Linked DNA regions of Diceros bicornis minor. The main gene of each other region encodes a partner of the protein of the gene in region 2 in a complex. Links are inferred from orthologs where the notes say so. Each region holds a gene or a part of one and is shown on either strand. Other genes may lie near its edges.

The links. The genes of interacting proteins can lie anywhere in the genome.
Region 1: the proteins of GNAS (region 2) and HRH1 are in contact, whole or in part, in a cryo-EM structure (PDB 9LRB), measured with the Homo sapiens proteins. The link is inferred for Diceros bicornis minor from reciprocal best matches to the Homo sapiens genes GNAS and HRH1. Residues at the interface, in NP_000507.1 of Homo sapiens: Gln35, Arg38, Ala39, His41, Lys216, Val217, Asn218, Phe376, Cys379, Arg380, Asp381, Ile383, Gln384, Arg385, His387, Leu388, Gln390, Tyr391, Glu392, Leu393, Leu394; in NP_000852.1 of Homo sapiens: Asp124, Arg125, Ser128, Val129, Gln130, Pro132, Leu133, Arg134, Leu136, Lys137, Arg139, Thr140, Ile213, Ala216, Val217, Gln219, His220, Cys221, His223, Lys412, Ala413, Gln416, Leu417, Cys471, Asn472.

What each region holds. Positions count from the first base shown.
Region 1 is NC_080741.1:83,884,551-83,892,136, reverse strand, and holds the start of HRH1 (histamine H1 receptor), read right to left. Parts: upstream 3,007-7,586; 5' UTR 2,930-3,006; intron 2,685-2,929; exon of another isoform or gene 2,466-2,684; intron 2,112-2,465; exon of another isoform or gene 2,080-2,111; intron 1-2,079. UniProt on the Homo sapiens protein: G-protein-coupled receptor for histamine, a biogenic amine that functions as an immune modulator and a neurotransmitter.
Region 2 is NC_080758.1:4,818,226-4,825,710, reverse strand, and holds the start of GNAS (guanine nucleotide-binding protein G(s) subunit alpha isoforms XLas), read left to right. Parts: upstream 1-4,461; 5' UTR 4,462-4,476; coding exon 4,477-6,280; intron 6,281-7,485. UniProt on the Homo sapiens protein: Guanine nucleotide-binding proteins (G proteins) function as transducers in numerous signaling pathways controlled by G protein-coupled receptors (GPCRs).

The DNA of each region.
Region 1 (7,586 bases), on a different chromosome or scaffold from region 2:
GAACCAACGCAAAGCATGAAGTTCAAGCCACAGGTGAAGGAGTGGGGTTAGCCACAACAGTGATAATCGTGGTAACGCCCAGCATTTGCTGAGTCCCTAGGAGAGCGCCAGCACTGTAAATAGGTCCGCACTGAGACTATTGAAAGGTTTTAGGCTATTTAAAGCTTGAGACTGCACTAAGACCTCTGGGACACAGATTATATCCAACACGAGACCTACTCCCACTTTACAGATGAGAAAGCGAGAGGCTCGCAGAGACTGGGCAGCCTGCAGGTAGCAGGGCCAGGATACAAAGCTGGACCTGTGTGACTTTAATAGTAACAATAATGACAACTAAAGTTTAAATTGCTCTTTCAGGGGCCGGCCTGGTGGCGCAGCGGGTAAGTGCGCGCACTCTGCGGCAGCGGCCTAGGGTTCACAGGTTCGGATCCCGGGCACGCACCGACGCACCACTTGTCAGGCCATTCTGTGGCGGCGTCCCACATAAAGTGGAGGAAGATGGGCACAGATGTTAGCCCAGGGCCAGTCTTCCTCAGCAAAAAAGAGGAGGATTGGCATGGATGTTAGCTCAGGGCGGATCTTCCTCACAAAAAAAAATAATAAAAAAATAAATGAATTGCTCTTTCATGTATCACATGGCACCATTTGAGTGCTTTATGCACATGAACACAATTAATTCTCTCGCCAACCCAGTGAGGAAGGTGCTATGGGGAAACTGAGGAACAGAGAGGTGTAGCAACTTGCCCAAGGCCACAGAGCTCCTAAGTGACAGCGCTGGGATTGGAGCCAGCTCGATCTCTTTGCTCTGCCTCCTCTTTGTTATGGAAAGGCCACACCAATTCCACCAGGCACTCCTTGATTGGAAAGGAAAGTGAGAACACGAACCCAGAATTCTGAGCCAGTCCAAGGGGAGGAAGTTCAGACACAAGTTCTTCCTACCCAGCTGAGGGCCAGGAGAGACCACGCCTAGCCCACGACTGCCCACACTCCTCTGGGCTACGGGGTCCTTGGCAGGCAGCTCCAGCCTCCACCCAGCTCTGAAATCACGGACAGGCAGTGCTCGCCTTGGAGAGATTCTCTGTCACACTGGAAAACTGTACCCAGCTTCCCTAGAGACTCTCCCTCCACCAGGGGAAATACCTCTCCAGACAGCCAGACAGCCTCAGGCAGCTTTGGGCTTGCGTGTGAGGGTCCAGCAAGCCCCGAATCATATTAGGGTATTTACACGGGATTGTCAAGGCTTCCTGTGAGTGCTAACCCACTCAGCAACAGGCCTCCCGCAGGACACTTATCAGAGAGAGAGGAGAGCCATGCAGGGGCATCCTGGAACCCTGCTGCCTGGAATCTCTCTATTCTTCACCTTTGCTGCTGCAAGCCACAAGCAGGAAGGACCCAAGGTCCCCTTGGCAGCTCGAGCTGAGCTGAAAATCTGGAAGGAATCAAGTAAGACCTATGTTCAAATCCCAACTCTGCCACAGACCAGCCAGGCAACCTCAGGCAAGTTACTTAACCTCTCTGAGCCTCAACACACTATCTTTCAATGAGGCTAGTAATAATAGTGCCCACCTTGTAAGGCTGCTGCGAGAACTAAAAGAGATAATGCATAAGGATACTCTGATTGGTCCACGCTTGCTCCCCGTCCCGGTCTCTGCTGGTTCCTGGCTGCCTCCAAGAGCCAAAACCGGGCATTCAAGCCCCTCCCCATCAGAGCCCCCACCCCCCCTGTCCTTCAAGCTCTGGAGACACACTCCACTGTGCTCCTGTCACAGGGGCCTACCCCCCCATCACGGAATGAGTTCCCCAAGCACCTAGGATCTTGCTCACACAGTACTCCCAGGGCTGTGCCCCTCCGGTTCTGGGTCTCAGGTGAGAGCCCCCTGCCGGAGGTCAGCGACCCTGCCTGGCGTATCTCTACACTACAGGCTTCCAGAGTGGACACCTCAGAGAGATTAAGGGATTCGGGTCGGATTTCTTCGGGGGGGGGGAGGAGGGGGGCGGGGAGCAAAGGGGTAATCGCAGAGAGAAAGTGGCTTCCGTGAAGAACTGCTGCGCTCCAGCTCCTGACTTCCTTGGCTCCTTCCAGAAGAATCCAGAGCAACTTCCAGAATGTGGTATCCTCTCACTTTTGCCCTGAAAGAGCAGCCCCGATGCGCTTCTGCCACTACAATCCACTCCCTGGCAGAAATGCCACTAGCTTTTCAAGGGCTCCTGGCGCGGTACAATGAGGAGGAGATGGTCGCCCCGCCTGGGCTTGCAGCCGTGCTGCAGGAGACCGCGGGCGGTGGCCTTGACGCTTCCCACCCCCCGACCCCTGGCGACGCCGAGCCTGCGGCTCGCCCGCGTGTGGTTACGCGGTTTCGGTCAGGCCGACTCAGCCTCAAAACCCTGGCTCTCCCCTTGACTCGCTGGTGCTCCTGGGCACAACTTTCCCTCTCTGAGTCTCAGTTTCCTCCTCTGTAAAACAGGTATAACACCTGGTTCACCGAGTTACAGGGAGAATAGAAAGAATGGATGCCCAGAGCCTGGCACAACGAATGCACTCAACAGATGGGCTGGGACTACGGTTAGCATCAAACTCGGAGCCTGAGCCAGCCCTGCGAAACTGGAGCCTCGCCCTCTCGGCGTCGGCGCCCGGAGGCAGCCGCTCGGGGCGTGCACCCCGGCGAAGCCACGTGAAGCCACAGGTGTCTGCGCGTCGGGGCGCTGGGGCCAGGACTGAATGTCAGGGAGGTGCCGGGGAGCCGCGCTACGGGGCCCTACCCCAGCCGCGCATGTCCCTGGGTCCCCCCGCGCGCCCTCCTCAAGCCAGCCGGCTCCGGGGGTCTCTGCCGCTGCTCAGGGACGCCCGCACCCACGCCCGGCCGGCGCGCAGCCTGGCCTCGCCGCCGCGGCCCCGCTGGGCGCCTGCCCGCGCCCTGCTCTGACTCACCCGCGCCCGAGCCGGCTCCCGGGAAAGTTTGGCGGCGCGGCGACCGCGGCGACCAGGCTGCTCCGTGCGCGGCGGCGGCGGCGGGGGCGGGGGCGCCGGGGGAGCGGACCTGGGAGGCGGGGCGCCGGAGGAGGAGCCGCGCCGGAGAGGGCCAGCCCGGGGAGGAAGGGGGGGAAGGCGGGCACCCGGGCCGGCGGGCCTGCAGCGCCCCCGCACCGGGCTCGCGCTCCTAGGGCCGCCCTCACGCCGGGAGGGGGCGCTTCTGGCGCGGACACCCTCTCCCGCGTCCCGCGCCGGGGTCGGAGCGGCTCCCGCCCGGCAACCCAGCCTCCGGCTCTGCGCAGGGGCTCTCTGCGGCTCCCGGGGTTTGGAGAGAGAGGTGAAAGAAGGGTCAGAACCTTGGCGAGAACCGCCCCACGTCCCCCTCCCCGCCACACACACATACACCTGAGGGCAGACAGACGAATAGACAAGTCAGGACAGAGAAGCAGAGAGAGAAATAGTCAGAGACGAGACAATGTCAACCACAGACCCACTGAGAGACAAAGACATGTAGTGATACCCCACCTCCCCTTATCCCTGCTAGAGAGCCGGAAATAGACAAAGACAGACGGACAAAGCCAGGCAGACAGATAGGGACCCTATCCCTAGAGGTTTCGTGGGGAACTAGAGAGACCCCCCAAGGTCAAGAACTCCACACCCCTCGTCAGTTTCTCCCTACGCCCTCCAGATGAGCTCAAGTTTGACAACTGATGTGTTTCAGTTAGCATGCTGTGACTGACTGAGCGGAAAGTTGGGCAGTGTTGCGAGAGTGAGGGTGGGGATGTGGGTCTTCTGCAAGTCCCCGGGAGCCGCTGCCCCCTGACTCTGGGAGCCTGAGAATTCTTACTGGCTGCCTTAGTTTCTGGAGCTGGGGGAGAGAGGTAGAGTGTTCTCTCTCTCCTCAGTGCCAGGAAAACTCCACTTGAAGCTCTAAACAATTATGGTTTCAGATCTTATCTCAGCATTTCAAAAGAGACACCCAAGCTCAGAGGGAGAGGAAGGTGTTTGAGAGGAAGGGACTTGGGGGGAGGATGGCTGGAGTGTGGGTTTGGGGATATTTCATGGGGGTGTCTTAGCCTCCTCTGAGTAGAGGGCACTTCCACTCAGTGGCTGTGGGATCCTGTGGAGCTAATTTGAGGTCCATCTTCACCACCTGTGTGTGGTAAGTGAGTGATCCCTCTTTCTGGCCTCAGGGTCCACATCTGTAAAACGAGCGTTCATAAAAACAGCTGTCATTGTGCCATGTACTCTTCTAAGTGCTACAGGTGCTTACTCATTTAATCCTGATAACACCCTGAATAAGTAGGAACTATTATTATCCCTAGTTTACAGAGGAGGAAATGGGGGTACAGAGAGGTTAAGTAACTTACTCAAGGTCACACAGGAGGACTGGGAATCCACCCTATGCAGCCTGGCTACAAAGTTCAAAGACATAGTAGTGTTCTGTAATCTTCTTCTCACTGGGGCCGCTGGAAAGTTCCATGAGATCATTTATGTAAAGGTCTTAGCAAGTGCTCCATAAATGGTAGCATAGACCACTGAGCCTGTCTGCAAGGTGGAGATTAAAGGGCTGATGGTGATGCCCAGAGATAGGAGACTGCGGACTCAGGATAGCTGACATAATAGAAACATGGCCATGTTTCTATCCTAGGTGCCAGCTCTGACCTTAATGAGTCAGAGAGGCAAGGGATTCCCCCTTTGTTTCCCTGACCAGCCCCCTGTATGTTAGCATAACTCCACAACCAGGACTCACTCTGAGTCCACAGTCCACTCCCTCCCATTCCTTGGTGATTCTCCAGGGCCTCCATCTTCTACACCTTACCAGACCGTACACTCCTTGGTACTGAGTTAGCACTCAGGGGAGTAACTGTTATAAACTCTGAAGGAAATGGGTTTCCACTCTCTACAGCTGTAGGGCTGACAGGAGTGAGGGGGAACAACCCTCAGAAATGTCTAGGTCCACATCCATCCCCTCTCTCTCTCCTTTCTGCAATTCAGCAAAGGCTTGATTATTTGAAATTCCAAAGTTTCACTTTCTGGGCTGTTTTTAGGCCTGCTAAGCCCATAGTGATCAGCATTTTTAGAAACATCAGCATTTTGGAAACAGTATGTCAGACATTATTTGAAGCCCTGGTGACCAGGGTGTGCTGTTTTGTTGTGGCATTTGGAACTGATGTATCATGAGATAACTCAGACCATATCCTGAGTGTGTGGGGTGAAGAGGGGGTAGCCAGCTTACTAACGATATACATGCAGCAGAAGAAAAATAATAGCTAGCCGTCATGTCACACCTCTTGTGTGCCAGGCCTGTTCTAAGAGCGTTATGTAATCTAATTCATCTACTCCTCACAAAAATTCCATGAGGCAGGAACTGTTATCCTATTTTGCGGATGAGAAAACCGAGGACCAGAGAGGTGAAGAGCCTTGTTCAGAGTATACAGGCAGTGTGTCATTCCAAGATCAGACAGATAGGAAGCAGCTGAACCAAGTCTGGAAATTGGGTCAGTCTGGCTCCATGAGCCTGTTCCTACTTCTGTGATTTGTGGAAGAAAGTCAGAAAAGGAGAACCACTTGAGCCACTGAGTAGAGATTAGAGGTACAGATTAAGAAGAAGTAGATTAAAAATATCTGCTCTGCCACTTGTTAGCTCTGTGCTTACTTTGCTTCTCTGAGCCTCAGTTTCCTCATCTGTAAACTGAGAATAATAATGCCTATGTCACGTCCAGGATTTTAATGACAATTCTTTTGACTGCAGTCAATGTAAACCTGATTATAACCAGCTTCAGCCAAAAAGGGCTTTGAACTGAAAAATTTAGGAGGTAGTTCTAAATTCGGGCACAGTCCATGCCAGAATCTCAAGGGAAGTTGTCATAAATCTGTCTCCCTTTGTGTCTTGTCTGTTTTCTTTTCTGTCAGTTTTGTTAGCAGGCTGGGTCTCTCCACATGGAGGCAGAAATGGCCAATTAAGGGACCTCAAGTCCAAGCGATTACTTCCTTCCCAAAACTTCCAGCAAAAATCCCAGCCCCAGCTCCCACTGCCTGGCCTGGGTCACATGCCCAACCCTGAAGCCATCCTGGTTGCTCTGATTGGCGAAGCCTGAGTCACATGCCCCCACCAAGAGTCAGGGGGTGAGGTCAGCCCCTCCTAAGTCACAGGGACTAGGAGTGGGTGAAGGATGGTTCTTTAAAAGGAAATCAGGGTGCTTTTAGCAGAATAATGGGCACTGGGGCTGGACAGGCACAGATGTCTGCTTCCTCACAGAACTGCTGTTGGGATTAAATCCGCTCGTGTGTGCAAAGTGTTTGGCTCTGGTGGGTGCTCAGGAACTGAGTCCCTTCCCTTCTTTCCTCTCCTCTGGGAAACAGAATTCACCAAATTCAGGCCAATTGCTTCCTTGTTCACATGGGGAAACTAAGAAGGTCCAGAGAGGGGAAGGGACTTGCCTAAGGTGACCCACCTAACCAGCCACAGAACCCAGCTGATCAGTCATAGAACCCATATCTCCTGGCCTGAAACAAATTCCTGTTAAAGTCTTAGCTGAGAACTTTTAGATCCCCTACTAACCAAGGGAGTTATCTTTGCATTTACAAAGGGAGGACTAGAAAATTGCAAAACCCAGAGGAAATGAATGCCACTTATGTTGGGCTCCCAGACTGGTCAACAAGCTATCGACTGGTAGATGTGGGCAGAGTGCCAAGCCCCGCTCCCTACCTGTGGTATTATGAACGCAGCCGTTTCCTCTGGGGACTCTGCACTCTGGGTGCCAAGAGATCCAAGTAGTCATTTTGCTTTTTTTTTTTTAATTTTATTTATTTATTTTTTCCCCCCAAAGCCCCGGTAGATAGTTGTATGTCATAGCTGCACATCCTTCCAGTTGCTGTATGTGGGACGCGGCCCCAGCATGGCCGGAGAAGCGGTGCGCTCCCGGGATCCGAACCCGGGCTGCCAGCAGCGGAGCGCGTGCGCTTAACCGCTAAGCCACGGGGCCGGCCCTAAGTAGTCATTTTTCATTTAGCTGCCCAAAGAAGGCAAGATGGCCCTTCCTTCGTCTTAATTCCTGCTCAGTGTGTGAGAGCAGAAGTGCATCCTTCAGGGCCAAAGTGGGCCACGTAGCACGCGCGTTATTTAGAGTTATAAAAATGGACCCTTCCAGCTTGCCCTGACTCAATTCCAAAGCTGCTGGCCTTGGACAGCTAGTCTGACTTTCCAGTCTAAATTTAGTTAGACTGGCATGCTCTAGAGCTGCTTCGTTTAAAGGAATGTGAGCAAGAAAGGCAGACATTAAGCTGGAATGACAAGACCCAGTCCCTCCATCCCCCTAAGGTAAAGCATGTAGATTTGCTGTGCAGGGTGTGGGAGGAAGTGTCAATTTCCCTCCGGCCTTCCGGGAGGGCAATTTGCAGCCAGATGTTGAGAACTTTAAAAATGCTCAGTTTCTTATTCCATACTCCAAGAATTTTTCCTGAGAAAATAATCATGGATATCACCAAGATATGCATGAAAATGTTCATTGCAGGATTGCGTATCATCGTAAAAGACTGAAAATAATCCAAATGTCTAACCATAGGGAATTGGTTAAATAAATTATGGTACATCGGGATAGAATGGACTACT
Region 2 (7,485 bases):
CCACGCCCCGCAGCTGCCTTTCCGGTTAGTCAGCTCCTCAAACATCTGGCCACACTTCTGGGGTCTCTGGAGTCACACTGCTGATTGGCAGCGCAATCTCAGCTCTGAACCCCACTCACCCAAGTGATTTGGGGTTTTCAGATCCTGCTGGCCAGTCACTACAGAAAAATAAACAAGAGTGGACAAAAGGGGAGCATCAGAGTTAAACACTGGATTTTTTGCTTTCTGGTCCCAATTTACCTTTAAATTAAAGTGATTCCTATTCAAGTCTGAGGGTCCTTACTCAGCCTATAACAGTGGTTTCAACCGGGGGCGATTTTGCCCCCCAGAGGACATTTGGCAAAGTCTAGAGACATTTTTGGTTGCTACAACTAAGGGGATGCTACTGGCATCTAGTGGGTAGACGCTAGGGATGCTGTTAAGCATCCTACAGCGCACAGGACCGTCACCACAATAAAGAATTACCCAGCCCCCAGTGTCAACAATGCAGAGGCTAAGAAACCATGGTCTAGAGTAGATACGCTGACCAATTCTTAAATTCTTCCCTCTGGTATACTCCTCCCAGTCCCTTCTGAGCCCCACTGTTCTCTCCTTAATCTCTCCCGTTTTCCCCTCCAGTGCTCCAAATGGTCAAGATTCTATCACCAAATATATTTCTCCCCTTGAGGGTATTATCTGATCTAGTGATTTCATATCCTAAAATGGATGACTGTCACTTTGAATTTAGGGTCTTTACCTTTCTTCTAAACTTCAGACCCATCCTCCTAAGTAATAGGCTGTAAAAATTTCCATTCAGATCGCCCATCCTTCCTTCGCCTCTGCCATGTCTAAAACCAAACTGGCTCCACAACCGGGCCAACCCCCCCAATCCCACGTGTGTCCCTTCCTCTAAGTGCCAGATTTTGGCTCCTCCCCCTTTTGTGCCTTTCTAGCACAGAAGTTGCTAGAGGGTCCTTTAAGATCCCTCAAGTCCCTTCCTTCAGCCTTCCTGTTTCCTTCACTGTGTGGTTCTCTCTCCCTTAAAGGTCATGACCAGCCACAGCCCCCTTTGTTCTCTTCATCACGACCATCCTCTACACTGCCTCAACTTTTCTTAAAACTAGACTCAAATCTTCACTTGCAGGACAAAAAAACATTCAACATCTGCTCCATTTCCTACCAAAATAGCCTCAAAACTGCTTGCCCTGATGTTCCATGGTATCCTCAGAGAGATCCTATCTCATTTTTCCTGCCTTCTCTCCCACTACTCCCCCAGGACTCCACAAGGTAGCCTGTGCTCTTTACCCAGCCATGTGCCATGTTTCCCACCATGAGATCTTTGTTCGCGGTAGGCCAACGTCTCCCATCCCCCCACCTTCTAGTCATAGCCAAGGCGTCTATTCCTCCATGGAGGCCCATTTGAAACGCCATTTTCTCCATCAAGTCCCCCCCAGTTGGAGGTCTTTTCTTTCATTTTTATGCTGCTCCACCTTTAGGATGGAGGACTGGTATCTGCCCAGTCTATCCCCTCAATTCATGACATCTCCCGGCAAAGAACCAAGATACCAGAAAGAATGTTGAACACGGGTCCCACAGGCCCAGGAGGATGTCGGACAAAGAGACCCTCTACCTATTCCTAGATGAACAGTGCTTTGGGGCAGAGCCCAAGTGAAGCGGGCCAAGCACGAGGCCTGGCGAGAGCAAAGCGTCCCTTTGGGGCCCCGATCGCAGCCTCCGGAGCTCCGTCCCCAACGTCTACTGACCTTCCACTTCCGCAGGGCTCAGCATCCCTGGGGCCTCCACTCCTTATCCATCTGGGGCTGCTCCTCTGCATCGGGACAGTAAGCCCTCTCCCTCCTCAGGGTCCTTGCCCTCTACCCCAGGCCCTGGAAATCTTCTTCCTCCTGGCCTTGCCCCAGTGTCGGCCCCTTCTGTTAAGTGGGTTTGCCCACTGCCATCAGCGAGACCAAGGGTTGGCCCCTGCAAGCCCCCCGACCTCCCCTTCTAGCCGTTGTGACTTGTGGCATCCGGAAGAGTGACCCGACGGCGCCGGCCAGCCTCGTAGCATCCCAGGCCTGGCCGCCATACGCCCGCCCACCAACCGCTTCCAACCACGCCAGCAACACAACCTCTTAGGGCGTTCCAACACGGCGCCCCCTATTGGACCTCCCACTCGTATCCGGTTTCCGGTGCGATGCCCCCTGCTCATTCGCCGGGCAGCCTTGATTGACGTGACCCCAGCCCAATGGCTGACCCAGCGCTGAGGTCTGAGGGGGGTAAGTTGACTCTTGCAACCCACTTGGCCCATTCAGTGGATGCCCAAATGTTTGAGCCATTGCCCGTGGGGATAGTTGGCCAAAGTTTGAACGAAAGTTCAGTGTTGGCATGTGGAAGTGTGTAGACACATAAAGCTGAGATGATACGCCTTTGGGGGGCCCCAAACATTACCTAGGGTCTGACTTTGTCAGCTGTCCACCGTGCAGCGTGGCCACGTGGATGGTGGATGCGGGTGCAGTGATGCGCTGTGGCTGTGGTCCTCTCGTTCTAAGAGGGATGCGTTAGACTTAACGAGATTGGACCGTGCGTGGTTCGCCCGCCTGCGGTTCGTAGATACAGCGATCCAGATGGTGTGCCCCGCTCGCCGCAGCCCACCCGATGTAACACCCATACCACCATCCTTCCCCTGTCCGCAGGAGGGGCGACCGCCTGCCTCCCTGCCTAGCTGCCTTGCACCCAAACGTGGCTGGCAGGTCCATGTCACCCGCTAGTGAGACAGACCTGATGCCCATGTCCCGGGTTTTACGTGATCTGCAAACAGCAATTTTTTCCCGGGACTCAAATCCTTCCGCAGACCCCAGACCCAGAGCAGTACGCGCATACGCCCCGAGCCCACCCAGGTGGTGCGGTATTTACCCCGGCAGGCTCTGAGACCACCACGCGTTACGGCGACGGGAGAGCAGCCGGGAGACCGCTGGGTTTGTGGCCGGGCTTCGTGCCGCCTCAGCGGACTCTAGCAGGGGAAAAGTAAAGTGGCTGCCCTGGGAGACCCATAGCGAGAGGACAGAGGATGGAGTGGGGCTGGAGAGGAACTAGAGATGCTGACTGACCGATCCTGTAGCCGGTGCCGAGGCTCGGAGCAGCAAGCGGCTGCCGGCGCGGCACGGTGTCTTTGGGTTCAGTGCGCATAGAGTTGTCCAGTTTCTCAGACCACCCTAAACTAGCCATAAATCCCAACTGAAATCCCCTTTAACCCTTCCCGACAACAGTGGGACTCCCAGAACTCTGAGGCCTCCCCTCCGTGGGGTCCTGGTGGACGTCCCGCGCCCCCCCCACCCCTCTTCGGTACCGCGGCGGCTACCGCTTAGAGGGTCTCCGTGGTACGCGCCTGAGACCCTCTTATTCTCCTGAATCATCGTCCACATAAACGGAAGAGAACCCTGCCTGCGCCACCCTAGGCTACTGCGGAGACCCCTAGAGTGTGGTGGGGATGGGGACATCAAAGTGCTTTACAGGAGCCAGCCTCGGCAAGCCGGCAAACAAAAGCTGCAGAATCAGTGGAAAGTACCCCAAGGCGTTTTAAAAACAAATTGAGTGTGCACATTTGGCAGCCCCTCGCCCCTCGCCTCCTGTCCGCCCCACTGGTGGGCTCACGACCACCTGTCGCATCCCCGTCCCGCGCCCTCACCCCCTTCCCAGTCGCCGAAAGCCTTGCGCTCCGGACTTGGGGCTCAGGATCGGAGGCTGCCCAGGGCTGGGGGCTGCGGCTCAGGGGTTCAGGGGTATCCTGAGGTAATGAAACCCTCCTGCAGTCCCCCCCTCCCCCCGAGAAGAGTCAGTTGGGTCTGGGAGGGAGGGTTTCAGCTCCTGCGCTCAAGCAGCCCGGGGCCCACGTCTTGCGTCACGTGGCCAGCAACGCAGGAGAGCTCTCTCGCTGGCCAGGGGAGAAGAGAGGAGAAACACTCCAAATCAGTCAGGGAGAGGAGTGGAAGGAGCCAAAACGTCCCTGCGAGGCCTGCGCTCATCAGCCCCCTTACCCAAAGTCCGGGGCTGCCGGCGCCAGGATCCGGCTCCGGGAGCCGCCTGGGCACCAGGGCCGGCGTCCCCTGGTGGCAGAGAGAGAGCACTACGAACGATTTTCGGACCGAATCGGCACGCTCCTCAGATCCAAGCAGGCGGGGCTGGCCTGGAGCAAAGAAAGAAAGAGAGAGAGGAGGGGACCAGGGGAGGCCAAGTGGGGGCCAGGGGGCAGCCTCAGGGGATAAAAAGTGGCCAGGAAGGAGACAAGACTCTACCAGCAACATATAGAGTTGCTTCTGCTACCATCTAGGGTTTGAGGCCCTGAATGCCCCAGACCTCACAGAGGTTTGGAAAGTGAAATCGGAGAACTTTCTAGTATTTTGATTTTTTTTTTTTTGAAAATATTTTTTTCACCCTAGTTTGGTTGGGTGCTCCGTCTTACGGGGCCCCAAGTTTATTTTAAGAGTCCGCCACCGTGTTATGGGCGTGCGCAACTGCCTCGACGGCAATAATATGTCAGGACAACGCCATATCCCCCTTGAACTCGGGGAACAGCCCGAGCAACCATCTTTGGAGGCCCCAGGGGCAGCTGCCCCCAGTGCTGGGCCTGGCGCAGCCGAAGAGATGGAGACCGAACCGCCTCACAGCGAGCCCATCCCCATCCAGATTGAAGGTGAGGCCTGTGGACCCCCAGAGGTCTCCAGGCCCAACTTCCAGAGCCTCAGCCAAGCCATCGAGGAAGTCGGAGCCCATGGAGGCTACAGCCCACCTCCTGAGGAAGCCATGCCCTTCGAGGTTGAGCAGCCCAGCATGGGAAGCTTCTGGCCTACCCTGGAGCAGCCTGGAGACACCCCTGGGGCCCATGCAGGCCTTGAGGCCTTCTGCCCAGCACTCCTGGAGCCCGGAGCCTTCGGTGATGCCAGCCCAGGCCTGGGAGGCTACAGCCCTCCACCTGAAGAAGCCATGCCCTTTGAGTTTGAGCAGCCTGGCCAGGGAGGCTGCAGCCAACCTCTCCTGCAGATCTCAGACCTTGCTCCAGGAGGCCCAGGTGCCGGGGTCTTCGGCGCTTCTCCCGAGGAGCCCCCAGCCCTCAGACCTCCAAACTCGGGCTTCAGAGGAAGCTGCAGCCCTCCCCCTGAGGAGGCTATGCCATTTGAGTTTGATGGAGCAGCCTTTGGGGACGAGAGCCCACCCCCTGGGCTCCCCCGAGCTATCCCACAAGTCGACGGCGGTGATGGCGGCCAGGTCACGGCAGTCGCGGTCCCGAGTGCGGTCCTCCTCGCTCCCGCCGCGAACGAGCCCCCCCTCTGGGTCCCAGGCGCCCTCGGCAGCCCATCCCGAGAGGCTGTCAGACCTCCTTCACACTTCGTGGGCGACAGCCCCCCGATGGAGATCTCCGGACCCCCGCTCGAGATTGGCAGCGCCCCCGTTGGGGTCGACGACACTCCCGTCAACATGGACAGCCCCCCAATCGCGCTTGACGACCCGCCCATCGAGGTCTCCCGAGCCCCAGTTAAGAGAGAGCAAGCAGAGGGAGAGGGACCCCCAGTTGAGGGAGAAGCAGGAGAGATGGAAGGAGGCTCAGCCGCCGCTGCCGCGGAGGGAGGAAAAGTCCCCTCTCCCGGGGAAGGAGCCCCTGCCGCTGGGGCCGCTCCCGCGGTCTCTGCCGCTCCTGCCGCCGGGGCAGCCCCAGCCGCTCCTGCCGCTCCAGCCGCCAGGGCAGTCCCTGCCGCCCCAGCCGCTCCTGCCGCCGGGACAGCCCCTGCCGCTCGGGCAGCCGCTGCTGCCCCTGCCTCCGGAGCCCGACCCAAGCTCCGTTTCCTTAGACCCCCCAGCCCCGAGATCCAGGTTGCCGATCCGCCTACTCCGCAGCCTACTCGCGCGTTTGCCTGGCGGGGCAGGTCTGAGCGCGGCCGCGACGACGACGAGGGGTCGGTCAGCAGCAGCGGAGACGAATCCGACGATGGGACCTCCGGGTGCCACCGTTGTGTACAGCCCCGGCGAAATCGCCGCCGCCGAAAGCCCCAGCGCAACTTGCTCCGCAACTTCCTCTCGCAAGCCTTCGGGGGCTGCTTCGGCCGATCTGAGAGCCCCCAGCCCAAAGCCCCGCGCAGCCCCAAGGTCAAGAAGGTTCCTCTGGCGGAGAAGCGCAGACAAATGCGCAAGGAAGCCCTGGAGAAGCGTGCTCAGAAGCGCGCAGAGAAGAAACGCAGCAAGCTCATCGACAAGCAACTCCAGGACGAAAAGATGGGTTACATGTGTACGCATCGCCTGCTGCTTCTAGGTAATGCGGCGGACTCTGCCCGTGGGGAGCAGGGCCGCCCGGGGATCTCGGGAGGGGGTGGCAGGGCTGCCCGGTGGGGCTTGGGGCCTGGCAGCGGGAGGAGGAGGTCTGGGCAAAAGCAGGAAAAGCCTGCTAGAAAGTTCCAGCGAGGGGCCCTAACTTTGCCCTGGGAGCGGGAGAGGGGCTCGGGTGGGCTTGGGTGGTCGAAGTATGTGCCCTTTAGGGAGAAAAGTGGTGCCGTACAACACTGAGGGTCGTTTCCAGCTGGACAAGCCAGCGCCAGCGACCGTAAGATGCCGCCGAGTCCTGGGGTGGGGGCCGGCAAGAAAGGCGGGGGCTTCAGGTGAGCCTGGCACTGCCGCGGAGGGGCCCTGGGGTTTCCCTGGCTAGGCTGGTTGGGGCCACCGTGGGTTGGGGTCGTTGGGGAAGGTGCGCCCCCGCCTCGCCTGGCACGGCTGCTTGGACTCAGATAGCTTGTCGTTGGTGTGTGTTGGTGTCCATATTGTGTCCGCCTGTGCATGATATGCTCAAGTGTCCTCCAATTCCCATCTCCCCGGCATCCCCAAATTACCCGCCGATTGTGTACTTGTACCGGGGAATGGGCTGTCTTGTGTTTTGCGCCATGGTGCCGGCAAAAACTTTCCGTGTTCGCACACTGTGGTGGTACCTGTGCGCTGGCGCTCTGCAGCGGGCGGCGCGAAAAATGCGGAGGAGAAGGTGGTGGGATATCTTGGGTAACAAGTTGGGCCACTGGCTGGGAGGAGAGGGGGCCGCCTCCCGCTGGCCTCCATAACCTTTTTTCTGTATGTCTTTTCTCTCTTTTTTCCCTTTGCGCTAAGCGTTTCCTCACTTCTCATTCGTTCGCCAAACCCTCCCGCCTTTACGGTTGAAAAACCAGACACTCAGGTATCTGGGGCGTCCGGGGCCGCACACGTAAATTTGGTCTTTTGCACACATTCAGCTCACCTGATGGGGGGATGGGAGGAGGAGGGGGAAAAAACGCTTAACCTGCTGTAAGCAAATTTGGATCCAAAACCACAGTGGGCTGGTTCCAAGAGGGTGGGCGTGGCTATGTTTAAAAAATATGAAATTTTTTTCCTAGGGAAGAGCCCGAGGTAAGCCAATCATTTACACTTTTATAAAGAGCACGGTAGGAGGGGCTTGGTTTAAAAAGGGAGGGGTTATGCGTTGTGAGTGGAATGCCG